2 linked regions of the Arabidopsis thaliana genome follow. The protein of the gene in region 2 interacts with the protein of the main gene of each other region in a biochemical or structural test. Each region holds a gene or a part of one and is shown on either strand. Other genes may lie near its edges. The genes, in order: ZPR3 and ATHB-15.

Region 1 (4,395 bases), on a different chromosome or scaffold from region 2:
TTCTGCCCTCCTTTTTCTTTTATTTTCTAAATGGAAAATATATATTCCAAACGAATATTGGGAAATTATTTAGTTTTTAAAAATTTAATTAATTAGTTAACATTTTATGCTCAATTCATCCATCATAACAAAAAAAAAAAAAAAATAGATATACACATTTAGAGAGTGACTGGAGTTTATAATTCATATTCAAACCCAAGAGTGTGTGTAAATTTGACGTAGCATCAATTTTGGTCTATTTAAAGCTATAGTATTCTGATATTATCCATTCTGAGGTTTTATCCAGTATTACTGTTGTTGAAGGAAATGATTTACATGACCAATATTATCAACAACTGGTTTGAACCATAATAATTAAATTGTTCAGATGCACATGGCATAATAATTAAATCATTTCAATTTAGAATGTTAGGATAAAGCTTTCATTGAACTTGCTACAACACATGTAGACTATATATACACAAACACTACTATTAATATTGTTTTTCTTCCTCATTTCCTCTACTCTAGTCTACTTGAAAATTACATAGACCTATTTATACTTAAGAAGTGTTTGCTAATCCTGATGAATAATTAGTGTCAATTCAACGATTCAGTTTCCACTTACTGTCTTACTCGATCGGAAAATATCATGGACAAAATGGGTCACTTTTGTTTTTGTATGAGATGATATATCAATATTGAATGCGTTTTGTATATGATTATAAAAATCGAATAACTTGTCCCCATGTTATATACGATACATTAGTTGATTGATATGCACTTGACAATATTTGATAAATGGAGCAAAGGTACAAAATGTTAGTCCAAGAATCAACCATATCCTAAAGTCCCCAACCCCACACCAGAGGATCTTTAATTAACATAGAAAATAGAAACAAAAGTAAAAATATGACTGAGAAGACTAACAGAGAGACACTGTCTTCTTGTAATAAAACAGAATCTTCTTTTCATAATAACTACTACAGTGCTCGATACTACTTATCTTCCTATAATACACCAAACAAAATAAAATACTTCCAAAAGGTTGGGTCTTCTTTTAATCTTCTCCTACGTACGGATTCGAGATCTCTTGCTCTAACGTATTCTTGATTTAAATCAAGATTGTCCAGAAGCAGAGCTTGATTTGTTGTCATTGTTTGATCCATTGTTAGAGTTCTTAGTTTTGGAGAGTTTCTGTTTGAGTTGAAACAAAAGCTGTTGGTTCTCTTGATTCAGAAGCTCAGCTTTCTTCCTTAGTCTCTCGTTCTCTTTCATTATGTAACAGTTTTCAACAAACAGCTTCGAGTTTAGCCTCTCCATTTCTGCTTTCTTGCTACAAGTAAAACAAAACAAAAGTATTATTACGAATTTTGAAAAATAAATGAGAAAAAGAGAGTAATAATATCAATAAAACCAAAGCTTGTGTTATGATTATTATTGTTCATGTTAAATCATTACATCACACATGGGTTGTGCAGCTTCACACGTCGGATGTGAATTACATTAGCTATAGGAAAAATCATTTGTCGCATTTATTTCGTTTTCATGTGAATTTCTTTTTCTTCTTTTTATGAAATCAATGATCAAAGAGAGAAGAAGAACATGATTATAAATTTGTATGGAGGATAAAAAGATAAAGCTAATAAAGAGAAAGAAATTGAAGAAAAGAGATAAAAACAAGTAATCATGATGATATATATGCAGTAATTATAAATGTTTTAACCTCTATGGACAGAGAGAGTAATGATTATATTTGAAACGCTAGAAAAAAACAGAGTAAGCAACAAAACAAAGATGGTGATCGTAGCAATACAGACTATTAAAAAGAAAAATCAAACAATTTTTTTTATTTATTTCGGTTGCCTCAAAGAAAAAGATAAAGATTAAAAACTTTCCATCATTGAGGAATATTTTAAAAGATGAAAAAGTTTTAACATAGAAAAAGAGAGAAATTAAGGGTTTGTCTTCACGTTAGTTGTACGTGTGACGTTACTACATAACTATTATCTTAACGTATGAACGCAAAAGCGATAGATAACAGAGCAAGAAACAGAAACAGAGCATGTCGAGAAAACTCACGTTAAGCTTCTAGAACAGTAAGAGAGTGAGAGAGAGAGAAGGAGAATAGAGGTTATACCTTTTGGGAAGGAGTGTTGAGAAGCAGAGATAACGAAGAAAGATTGAGAGAGAGAAGAGAGACGCTAGTTTGTGTGTGTAGAGAAGGTAGAGGGACAAAGAGAACAAAGTGAGACACTGTCTGTTATATAGATCCCCAAAAGCTAAAGAGAAAGAGAAAGAACCTTCTCTCTCCTGACACAACAATCATGCATTGTGTTGTGTTTCTGCATAGATGGCGGCCGCAAGAAGAGAGAGAGAGAGAGGAGATTTGTGCATATTGCGTCATGTGAATGATGATGATTTATTAAAGAGAAAGAAGTTAGAGAGAGAGAAGAAAAAAAAAAGGAGTTTTCTTGCTTGCTCTTCTTTCGAAATTGATCTTCAGGGATATTTTCGTAATTTCCGAAAGATCCCCTAGCACTTCCTTTGGCTCTTCATCGTATTCGTCCTCTAAACAGAAGATTCGGTTAAAAGAACTAGAGTAAGGGTATTTACGTCATTACGAAGGAAGTAGTACAGAGGAGGGTAATATTGTCATTTGTGTAGGACTAATGAGAGGGGCTATAGTAGAAGAGGCCATCGACCTCTAAAGATTCGCAATGATGGTAAAGATTGGTTCGAACCATCATCCTTCATGATTCTATTTCAACCGTTTTGGACCATTTTGTAAATGCTCTCTTTCCCCATCTCATGTCCCGGTTAGCTCAATCTTGGTTTAGTTCAAATATTACACTCCACCATTATTATGTTTTAGATTATTATTTCGGATACAAATAGTTTCCTTTGTGTGTTAAACTATTTGTTACTTTTTTCTTTGTATGAAAATCATAGTATACCACAATTTGAAAATGCATTTTTTTGTCCTCTTATATTGTCTCAGCATTCAAGATTTGATATAATTATGGTGGGAGAAGAAAAAAAGAAAGAAATAATGAAGAAGAAGAGTGTTTGGACTTTGGAGCCGTAAAACCTACAAAAAATAATCATGGATCAAAAGTGTTGTAGAACGTGAAACATCATAAACAGTGAGGTGGTTGTTTTTGGATGTATTTATGACTTCTCTTTTTTTCGTAACTTCACATGCCTTTGAATAAAACTCGTTCGTTTGCCCATGACTTAACCCCCAAAAAGAAGATGACTACAATTTCACGTTTATTTAAAACTACTTTGGCTTGTGTATATAAATCTTGTACGGCTTCTTTTAACCCTTCTTTCACGGAATAAATGTGAGAAATTGTGTTTTTTGTAAATATGCTGATTGTAGAAGTTAAACAAAACTGAAACACAATTAGTATTAAGTAGGTGTGTCTTGAAATGGAACTAAAGAGTGGGTACACTTGCTTACACCAAAGGCAATGATTTTAAAGGTGTGAGCAGCTTCATTTCTTGCTGGCCTATGCAATGCCGTTTCTACCCCTCATTGCTTTGGTCTAAGTTTGACAATTCGGTTTGGTGTTGATTTTTATTTATAAAATGAAACTTTAATTTATAAATATAGTTGGTTCTAGGATTAATTTTGGTTAATCATAACCCAGTCGGACCAATTTTCACACCCCAAAAAGGTTGAAAACTTTGTCTCTTTACCATGTAAATTTCAAAAACCTAAGAATATTCAAATATTCGGTTTTGGTAACCCCTATTAATGTAGTAAATGTTTGGTATAGAATATTAGATTACCATTCAGAGAAACTATATTTCGCTTTTATTAATTAATTGGAATTTTCTAGTTATTTTCTCCTTTGTTAATCTAACCTAATCTTTTTTGAACTTTATAATATAAACACAAACGAATTAAAAAAATATACCGTAATTTAACTGATTAAAAGTCTATATAAGTTTGTGTTTATATGACGTATATTTCATTTTGCTACGTACTACTGTATGTATACATTCATGTTGTATGATGGAGCATGCCTCTTTTGCACAAGAAAAGTACTGAAATCTCTTTATTTGAAGGAGTCCACATCCACCTCGAAGGCGATGTGCGCAGTGGTTCGATTGCTATACCCGAGATTGATTTACCGGCGATTGATGTCGCATCATCTGCTGCGTCGGTGGTGGCGGAAGAGTTAGGTAAATCAAATCTCACATAAATGATTCTCTGTTCTATTCTCCATTCTTCGTTCTTCTGATTGTTTTTTTAGGTTTTTGGTGGTTAGATGTTTGCGCCAGACGATTCAGAATTCATAAGGTGTAAAGTGTGTTCATATTAGACTGCATGCAAACATTATCATTGCACATCTTAACTTTTAAATAAAGGACTACTACAGATGTTTGGATGGACTACTACAGAAG
Region 2 (7,753 bases):
GAGAGCTATAATAAACTCTTAAATATCAACTTTTTTTTGTACTTTAGATTGCACTATGTATGATAGCCATAATATCTATATACGGATTTTATAGGTCTTGCTTTATGTGTTAAATAATTGCTGCATCCTTTTCTTAATATCTTTATGAGGATATTGAGTTTCAAATTAAAAACAAATAACTCTTTTTCTATTATTGGCACACAATATTCATCCTAAACTAATGGCCGACATTAATGTTGTTTTTCCTTTGATTGAAATTGAATTATTTCCGTGTTTTGAAATTTTCATTTCGTCAAGTTTTCATAGACATGGAAGTATGGAACCAACTTTATGGTTCACTCAAGCAAAAATGAATAGCTCAAAATTATAGAGTTAGCCTATAAACACCATAAATATCGAATTCTTCAGAACTTCCAAAGATAAGTCTAGATTTTAATATCTCTCTGGTTATTTTTCTTTATAAGAAAAAAAATTCTCAACCTTATCCTAAACAATCCAATTTGTCGCTGTGGAAACCTACACCAGATAGAGATGGTCATGGTTGAGTGTAATGATTGTCATACATTTTAGGAAAGGAAAAAAGATAAATTGTGTGATGGGCAAAATTTCTTTGTAAAGAAGTCGAATAAAACTTTAGAAAGCTAAAATGTACTAATAACAAGAAAAGAAAAAGATCATCATTATCACTCTTAATCAAACTACAAATTAAGCAAGCATTTCTTGAGTTTTGAAACAAAACACTGTTTTACGTGTTCACAGCAACATCAAGAACAACAACAACAACAACAACAACATGACCGTTTTACAATACAGCCAAAAGGCAAAAGCTTAGTCTGAAAATACAAAATACAATAAATCTCACACAAAGGACCAATTGATGAACACAAAGCAGATGCAATGAGCATTTTCTTCTTCATTGAGTACTTTCCAAGCAACTGCTCTCTCATACGAAACTGGTCTCCCCATGCTTGAGAGACATATCCCGCCTTGAAGGCACGCGAAGCCCTGAAAAAATAGATCCTAGTAAGTCGATAAAACTAAACATATGTGATAAGAATGAAGATCAGAAAATGTTTCTAAGAACCTGTTGCATGATCTGTGGGAACTCAGAGCAAAGAGTCTTTCTTCCATTGTCATCAAATATCTTCTCTAAAGAGATGTCTTGAAGAGCAACTAATGTAGTCTCCAGCATGTCAAGTCCCGCCTGGTTTGCAAATGTGAAGACGGGCAAGGCCTAACCGATGTTCAAATCCCAAAACAGATCAGCGAATACACGAGTCAAGTACTCCTATCGAATACACATTTATGTGTTTAACATTGTGTTTGTTACCTTCATTGAGCAGCAGATTATAGCATCAGTGTGATGCCAAAGATTCTTAAGAATAGATTCATTGCCGTCACTGTTTGATTTAAGTAGCTCAACACCCATGTAGCCCCTATTATCAATGGGTAAATGAGTCATCTTAGTAAACTAAACATTGTTGATTTGGTGGGAAAATTAGAACATATTTGATAGTTTGGTTTATACCTGTAACTCTGGCAAATCCAACGAGCAAGTGTTTGGGCTTCAGGAGTACCCAAAGGAGTGCGTAGACCAACTTGTGAGCTGATATGAGAAGGAGAAAGAGCCAATGCTACTCTCTGCACCGATGATATGATACCTCGAACATACTGCCTAGCCATGGATGCTACATGTTCTTGCATATGGCTCTCGATACCAAACTCAAATGCTATTGTCATCACAGATCTTGCACATGTGGAGTTTCCTGATTGATCAGTTGAGGCTTTTGTTCCAGCTGAACCAATTTCCAGTGCCGAAGCAAGATCCAAGGTTCGGTTTGGGCTAGATACTTCCTGCTTTTTTGGTTCAAGAAAAGCTTAAGAATCTGAATAATAGAAGACTTGGACAGAAAACATAACTTTTATTTACCTTTGCGGAATCAAGAGGGATAATACGAAAACCAGAAGGAAGCAGAGGTGCATCATCCGCAAACGAAGCATCGATTGGAGCAAATATAAGTTCCGCACAGGTTCCTACAGCATTTTCATCCATTCCGCTACAAAGCTAATAACCAAAAAAAAAATTATTTCAGGTACTAGAGACCAACATTAAAACCTTATGCAAAATAGACAACCTAAAGTACTTACTTGAAGAAGGAAGATATCTCTTGGAACGATTGCATCTTCAGGGGAATGACCAAGACCTTCCAATTTGATGACTTCCATAAACTGAATGAAAAAAAACCAACCATTATTCAACTTATATTATGGAGATAAAAGAAAAACATTAAGTTCATCGAAGAAAATTAAACTAACCTCTTCATGCTCAATAGTATGAGCAAGTGGAAGTATAACCTGCCCTCCAAATCCTCCAACTCGGGCACTACAAGGCCCTACTTTAACTGCTGCTGCTAGATACGCATCAATGTTGTTGTCAGCCCATTCTGACCTATGCTCCCTCAGAAACCGAAGCAGGATCGCCGGAGGAACATTCTGTAGGTGCAAAATCCCATAAAAAGAAGGTGAAAAAGTGTTGAAACAATCATCAGTTGATCTATAAAAAAAATGGTGCACTGACCTGTAAAAGCATTGATGCTTTTGCGCATAAAACAACATTGCTTACAGGAGCAAAGCCATTGGCAAATGTAAGATTTAGACCCATTAGCTTGTCTGGAGAAGAGTTTACAGTGATTGTGACATCATCCATGCTATCTCCTATCACTGACCATCCTTCATCAGTGAAACCATTTACAGCTTCATTGAAGCCTCTGTAGGGAAAAATTTTATAAGAAGAGGCAAATATAAAGGACACAAACCCACCAATAAGAAGAGGCAAATCGTAATTGTATATAAACCTGCTTAGCCTCTGGCTGAGAGCTCTTAAGGCAGCAGGACGCCGTCCCCACCCATTAACACTACTATTAGTCTGAGTAACCTCCTGAGCTATTTGCTTGAGCTGACGCAGTGCCTTTGAGACAAATTCGATTTGTATGCATCATTTGAGAACAGTAGTTTCAATATCAGAATGAGCTTTAGGGAATAAATGAGTTTAATTAACATACCGCCATTGTTGTCTTCTGTGCAAGTACTTTGGGTGACTCATAGAGCGGGCGCAAGACCTCAGGCACGCTACAAGCCTATTTAAGTGAACAAATATCCAAACAGTTTGGTTAACATTTCCAAGACCATTAGAATTGGTGCAGAGTGAGGCTCGTTACCTCCAAATCCATATGATCCACTATGTGTATGATTGAGCCACCACCATCACAAGGCCGTATCAAGTACCCACTGGAAAGCATCTCTGCTCTCACAAAATTCTGAACCAGTGGCATACTAGGACCATTTTGAGTGCTCTTAAGAGATCTCTCGCACACCTATAAGATTTCTTAAACCTTGTGAAATGGATCAACATGAATAAGAACACTGACAGAAAAGAAAAGCTACATACCACAAGGCTGCCATCTTCTAAAACAGAGGTGTAACGTAACAGCCAGAAATCGCGTGGTGGGGCCAATGTAGTTGGTGCATAGAGCTGCAATTACGAAGAGGATGATGGTTACTATTTTCAACTTTAGAAAAATAATTCTAACTGTGTAGCACTTATGGTTTAAAACTAACCTGCATATAAAGCAGCTCAACGGTTCCACCATTGGCAGTTGGCAACACGTTCATAACTTCAACAGCTCGACATTCGCGGAACCACGAAGGACGATCCTTGACAATCTCTGCAACCTGTAAAATAGTGAAAACAGATGAATGTTGTTACATATGTAGACACATGTAGAGTAGTATAAGATTGTATAAATCAGCGATGAGAATGATTCTATAAACGCACCCTTGTAGGCTCAAGACCCACTAGGCCACAGGCGCGTGCTGCCACACCAGTGCAACCATGAGAAATAGCGATGATTCCAATGGAATCCGGACCAGGCTGTTACGGAAAATACAAAAACAACCATTGAGGAAAAAGCAGAATAACTATATCCAATTAACAAAAACAAAACTAGAGGAATAAAATACCTTCATTCCAGGCATCTGAACCCACTCAACAGCGGTTCCAGTTGCCTTTGAAAGAAACTCTGCTAAAGTTTCTTCTGCAATGGACAAAAGTCTGAAAACATAACATGTATCAATGAATCTCAGAAAAATATGACAAAAGTGTAGTTTTTAACTAACAGAGTAACCATATTCCAATTAAAGAACCAACCCTGCAGGACTAGCATCTCTCTGAGGATTTTGAGATGCCAATTGGTGCTGACCACTCGTCACCACCGATTCACAGCTTGTGTCTTTAGCTGGGAGTGAAGGCTGAAAAAAAAAGACAAATCGATACACATACCATTAAAAGGATATTATTATTCTTAAAGAAAACATTCTAGTGATTATTAAGATAAGAAAAATGAAGATATTGCAGGAGTAGAATCCTCACATTTGGAGTATGTTGACGGAAGTAGCTGTTTTCATGGACCAGCTGTGACACTTGCTTCTGCAACCTGTCATTCTCCTCCATCAAGAGCTTGTTCATTGCCGTCAACTTCCGATTCACAGCTTGAAGCCGTGAAGCCTCTTTCCTTTGTTTCTCTCTACATCTAAAGTTCATAACAGAAACACAAAACAAAGATTAGATCAAGTAGATAGAGAGAACACCACAGAAACTTCCATTCACTACAATTCCCAAGCAAGGAACATTGTTATTACCTTCGGTTCTGAAACCACACTTTGATCTGTTTAGGCTCAATGTTAGAGAGAATAGGACACTCTCTGATCAACTGCTGACGGCGAATAGAACTCGGTTTAGGACAGTCATGATAAAGCCTCTCAAGTGCTTCAACTTGTTCAGGTGTATACCTCACATACTTCCCATTATCCAAACATCCCAACTTACCATCCTTGCAAGACATTGCCATTACTCCTCAGCAAAACTCTTCTTATTTCACAATCACAGAATCTCACAAATGACCCTACTACCCCCTCCAGATGAATAACTAAATCCTTCTAAACAGAAGATAACCACAACATACTAAACAAAGGAGACAGAGAGCTTCTTAGTCCACCACAAACTCCACAGCTTGAACAACTACCAAATCTAAGCCATCTCAAATCCTAAGCACTTGGAGTAGCTTCACAAATCACATTACCGCATAAATATCGAATTCTGTTTCCTTCAAAACACACTAGAGGCTTTTTTTCTTCATGCAATCTCAAAAGGGCACACAAAGACAAAACCTATCCTTTATATTACTCCTCGGCTTTTATGAGCTAAATACCAAAACACAAGAAAGAAAAACAGACTTTAAGATTACAACTTTCCCTTTTACAAACACCGAAAAAAGATTCGACCTTTTCTCTGAACACACACACCTAAAAAAACAAGAAAGTTACAAACTTTTTTATATTTGCTCGTGACTATAACACAGAATCACCGAGTTGACTCAGCCATTAGAAACCCCGATTCCACCTCGAAACGAAGCCATAATATTATCAGTTCTCAAACCCATATTCTCCTTCTTCGAGCTCTCATTGAAATAAAAATGAAAACTTTAGAGAAAAGAAAAACCCTAGAAATTTATTCGAAGAAGGAAAGAGGAAAGAGGAAAGTAGAAGAGAGGATGAAGAAGAGATGTATGTAGAAAACGAATCATGGAGCTACTGTACTGTTTTGTTGTTTTTAGATGTTATCTACTTTGTGTGTTTTTTTTCCTCTAGCTCGTTCATGGCAACTTTGATTTTTTTTTTTGGCCTTAAAATAATAATATTATTTTAATAATGTGATTTGATAGTGCTGTTGCGTTTGTGAAATTAGCTTTTTCGTTGGCATTTTCTTTTGTTTTTTTTTATGATTGGCACATTTCAATTTCATAAACCAACAAACAACAACACCTCGAGGGAAAACCAAATTTCTCTTGTTTACTCTACGAAAATGGTCTAAATAGGTATAATTGTCAAAAAAATTGTTCCAAAAGGTTAAAAAAAGGTTAATTAAAGCTTAAAACATTCTCAAATATATAATCAGTGAAAATTGTAAACGAGAAAAAGGCAGTCAAATTGAAGAGAAAGGCAATCAAATGCTTATACTAGTGTAATAAATTTTATTTTTTTGCTATTTGTGAAAATTACCTATTGTTATACTATAGTTTTTTTATTATACTATAGTTTTTATATTTATAAATAAAAAAATTATGGTCATGCAATTTTCTTTTTTTTTTTAATATTTGAAAATTCAGACTCAAAAACACTCGGTTAAATTCATCTTTTATGGAAAAGAGATTCATCCCAATATGTTTCGAACTCAGCACTTCCACCTAAAAGATTTATCACTGAACTAACAGCACATTGATATGGTCATGCAATTTCTTCGATCTAATCATGGAAAACAACATAGATAATGTTAACGTTTAATGTTGTAATGTTTGTGACTAATCTCTAACGGATGCTAATCTTATACTCCTACATTTATGCCCACAATATGAAATTAATGAGGTTTATACCAATAAATATTACTACTTCTAAGTTTTAACTAGTAGTAAACGAGTGGTAAAAGAGTGAATAGGAGGGTAATAAAGGTAAGAAGGAATGGGGAAGGTCAGAGGCGTATAAAAAATAACAAAAGGCGTGGGAGAGAGGTCTGCGTAGGAGACAGAGACAACATCATTACCTTCTTTGCATGCGTCTCCTCCGTCTTAAAGCTGAAGCTTCACTTTCTTTCTTTCCTTCTTTCTTTTTCTCTATTCTCAAATTTCTTTCTTTTATTTTGTCAACTCTCTTTCAAATATTTTAATTTAACTAGTACTATTCCTTCATTTTCCCAATAATGCCTGTAAAAGAATTGTATTATACTACTGATTTGAATTGTTCATCATGATGAATTCAATTCTTCTTTAAGTGGTTTCAATTCAAGTCTTAACTTTTTCAATTACCAATATATTTTCATTATAGAGTACGTACACACAAAAAAGTGTAGAATTGACTGTTTTAATTAAACGTTGGACCGCTATCTTCATATCGGGCCTAAATTCAGCCCAGTCCATTATGTATCACGGCTGTTGCAATTGGTGGACTTGTTTCATATAGGCTATATAGGTCACTGATATTCAATCTGTCCACTGATTGTTCTATTTGGAAAAATAGAATGATTAATTTCGTTTGTTTTTTTACTCATAACAAAAAAAGATTGCTATATTTGCAGGAGATTTTTCTACTGGTTATAGTTGATTGCTTGCTTCGGTTCATGCAACTGCCAAATTAGTGAAGCAATCTCTCTGCTTTTTCAAGATTTAGCTTCTGGTGTATCTACATTATGGCCTGTATACTTTGGAAGATGGATCAGATCTTTCGTCAGATGCTAAATCTTATAAAAGAAATGTTTTTCCATAGTTATGGAACGAATATCACTGTTCGGCAAGTCAGAATCAAGCGGACCCTTGACCCAAATGAAACTAGGAATAAATTCATTATTGTAGTCAAAATGGAGGTGTTCTTGTTGCTTTGCTTCAAGATCCTTTTCTCTAATGATCTCAAAGCTCGTCGACTTGATGATCTGATGTTAGGTGTTTAGACTTAGAGGTTTAGCATAGCTGAGATTTAACATCAAATGTTATTCTGATCAAATTAACATTGTTAATTGTTATGGGAAAAAAAGACATTTGTTAAATGTAGATTGTAGTAAACCTAAATGGATAATGTTGATTACATATAAACATTCTTAAGAAATAGTGACATGCTTGCATCTTTCCCTACGTGAATCTTTCTCTCT

What was found.
Region 1: the proteins of ATHB-15 (region 2) and ZPR3 form a complex in vitro, tested with the Arabidopsis thaliana proteins (one study listed by BioGRID).

What each region holds. Positions count from the first base shown.
Region 1 is NC_003074.8:19,556,793-19,561,187, forward strand, and holds ZPR3 (binding protein), read right to left. Parts: upstream 2,532-4,395; 5' UTR 2,120-2,531; intron 1,316-2,119; 5' UTR 1,303-1,315; coding exon 1,099-1,302; 3' UTR 724-1,098; downstream 1-723. UniProt on the Arabidopsis thaliana protein: Competitive inhibitor of the HD-ZIPIII transcription factors in shoot apical meristem (SAM) development. Acts by forming non-functional heterodimers. Part of a negative feedback loop. Involved in SAM development and lateral organ patterning.
Region 2 is NC_003070.9:19,409,055-19,416,807, forward strand, and holds ATHB-15 (Homeobox-leucine zipper family protein / lipid-binding START domain-containing protein), read right to left. Parts: upstream 5,625-7,753; 5' UTR 4,908-5,624; coding exon 4,699-4,907; intron 4,590-4,698; coding exon 4,430-4,589; intron 4,309-4,429; coding exon 4,208-4,308; intron 4,112-4,207; coding exon 4,021-4,111; intron 3,932-4,020; coding exon 3,836-3,931; intron 3,733-3,835; coding exon 3,619-3,732; intron 3,533-3,618; coding exon 3,449-3,532; intron 3,375-3,448; coding exon 3,219-3,374; intron 3,138-3,218; coding exon 3,063-3,137; intron 2,969-3,062; coding exon 2,856-2,968; intron 2,769-2,855; coding exon 2,579-2,768; intron 2,494-2,578; coding exon 2,317-2,493; intron 2,230-2,316; coding exon 2,149-2,229; intron 2,066-2,148; coding exon 1,931-2,065; intron 1,858-1,930; coding exon 1,529-1,857; intron 1,437-1,528; coding exon 1,331-1,436; intron 1,235-1,330; coding exon 1,085-1,234; coding exon of another isoform or gene 1,064-1,084; exon of another isoform or gene 1,006-1,063; coding exon 859-1,005; 3' UTR 657-858; downstream 1-656. UniProt on the Arabidopsis thaliana protein: Probable transcription factor involved in the regulation of meristem development to promote lateral organ formation. May regulates procambial and vascular tissue formation or maintenance, and vascular development in inflorescence stems.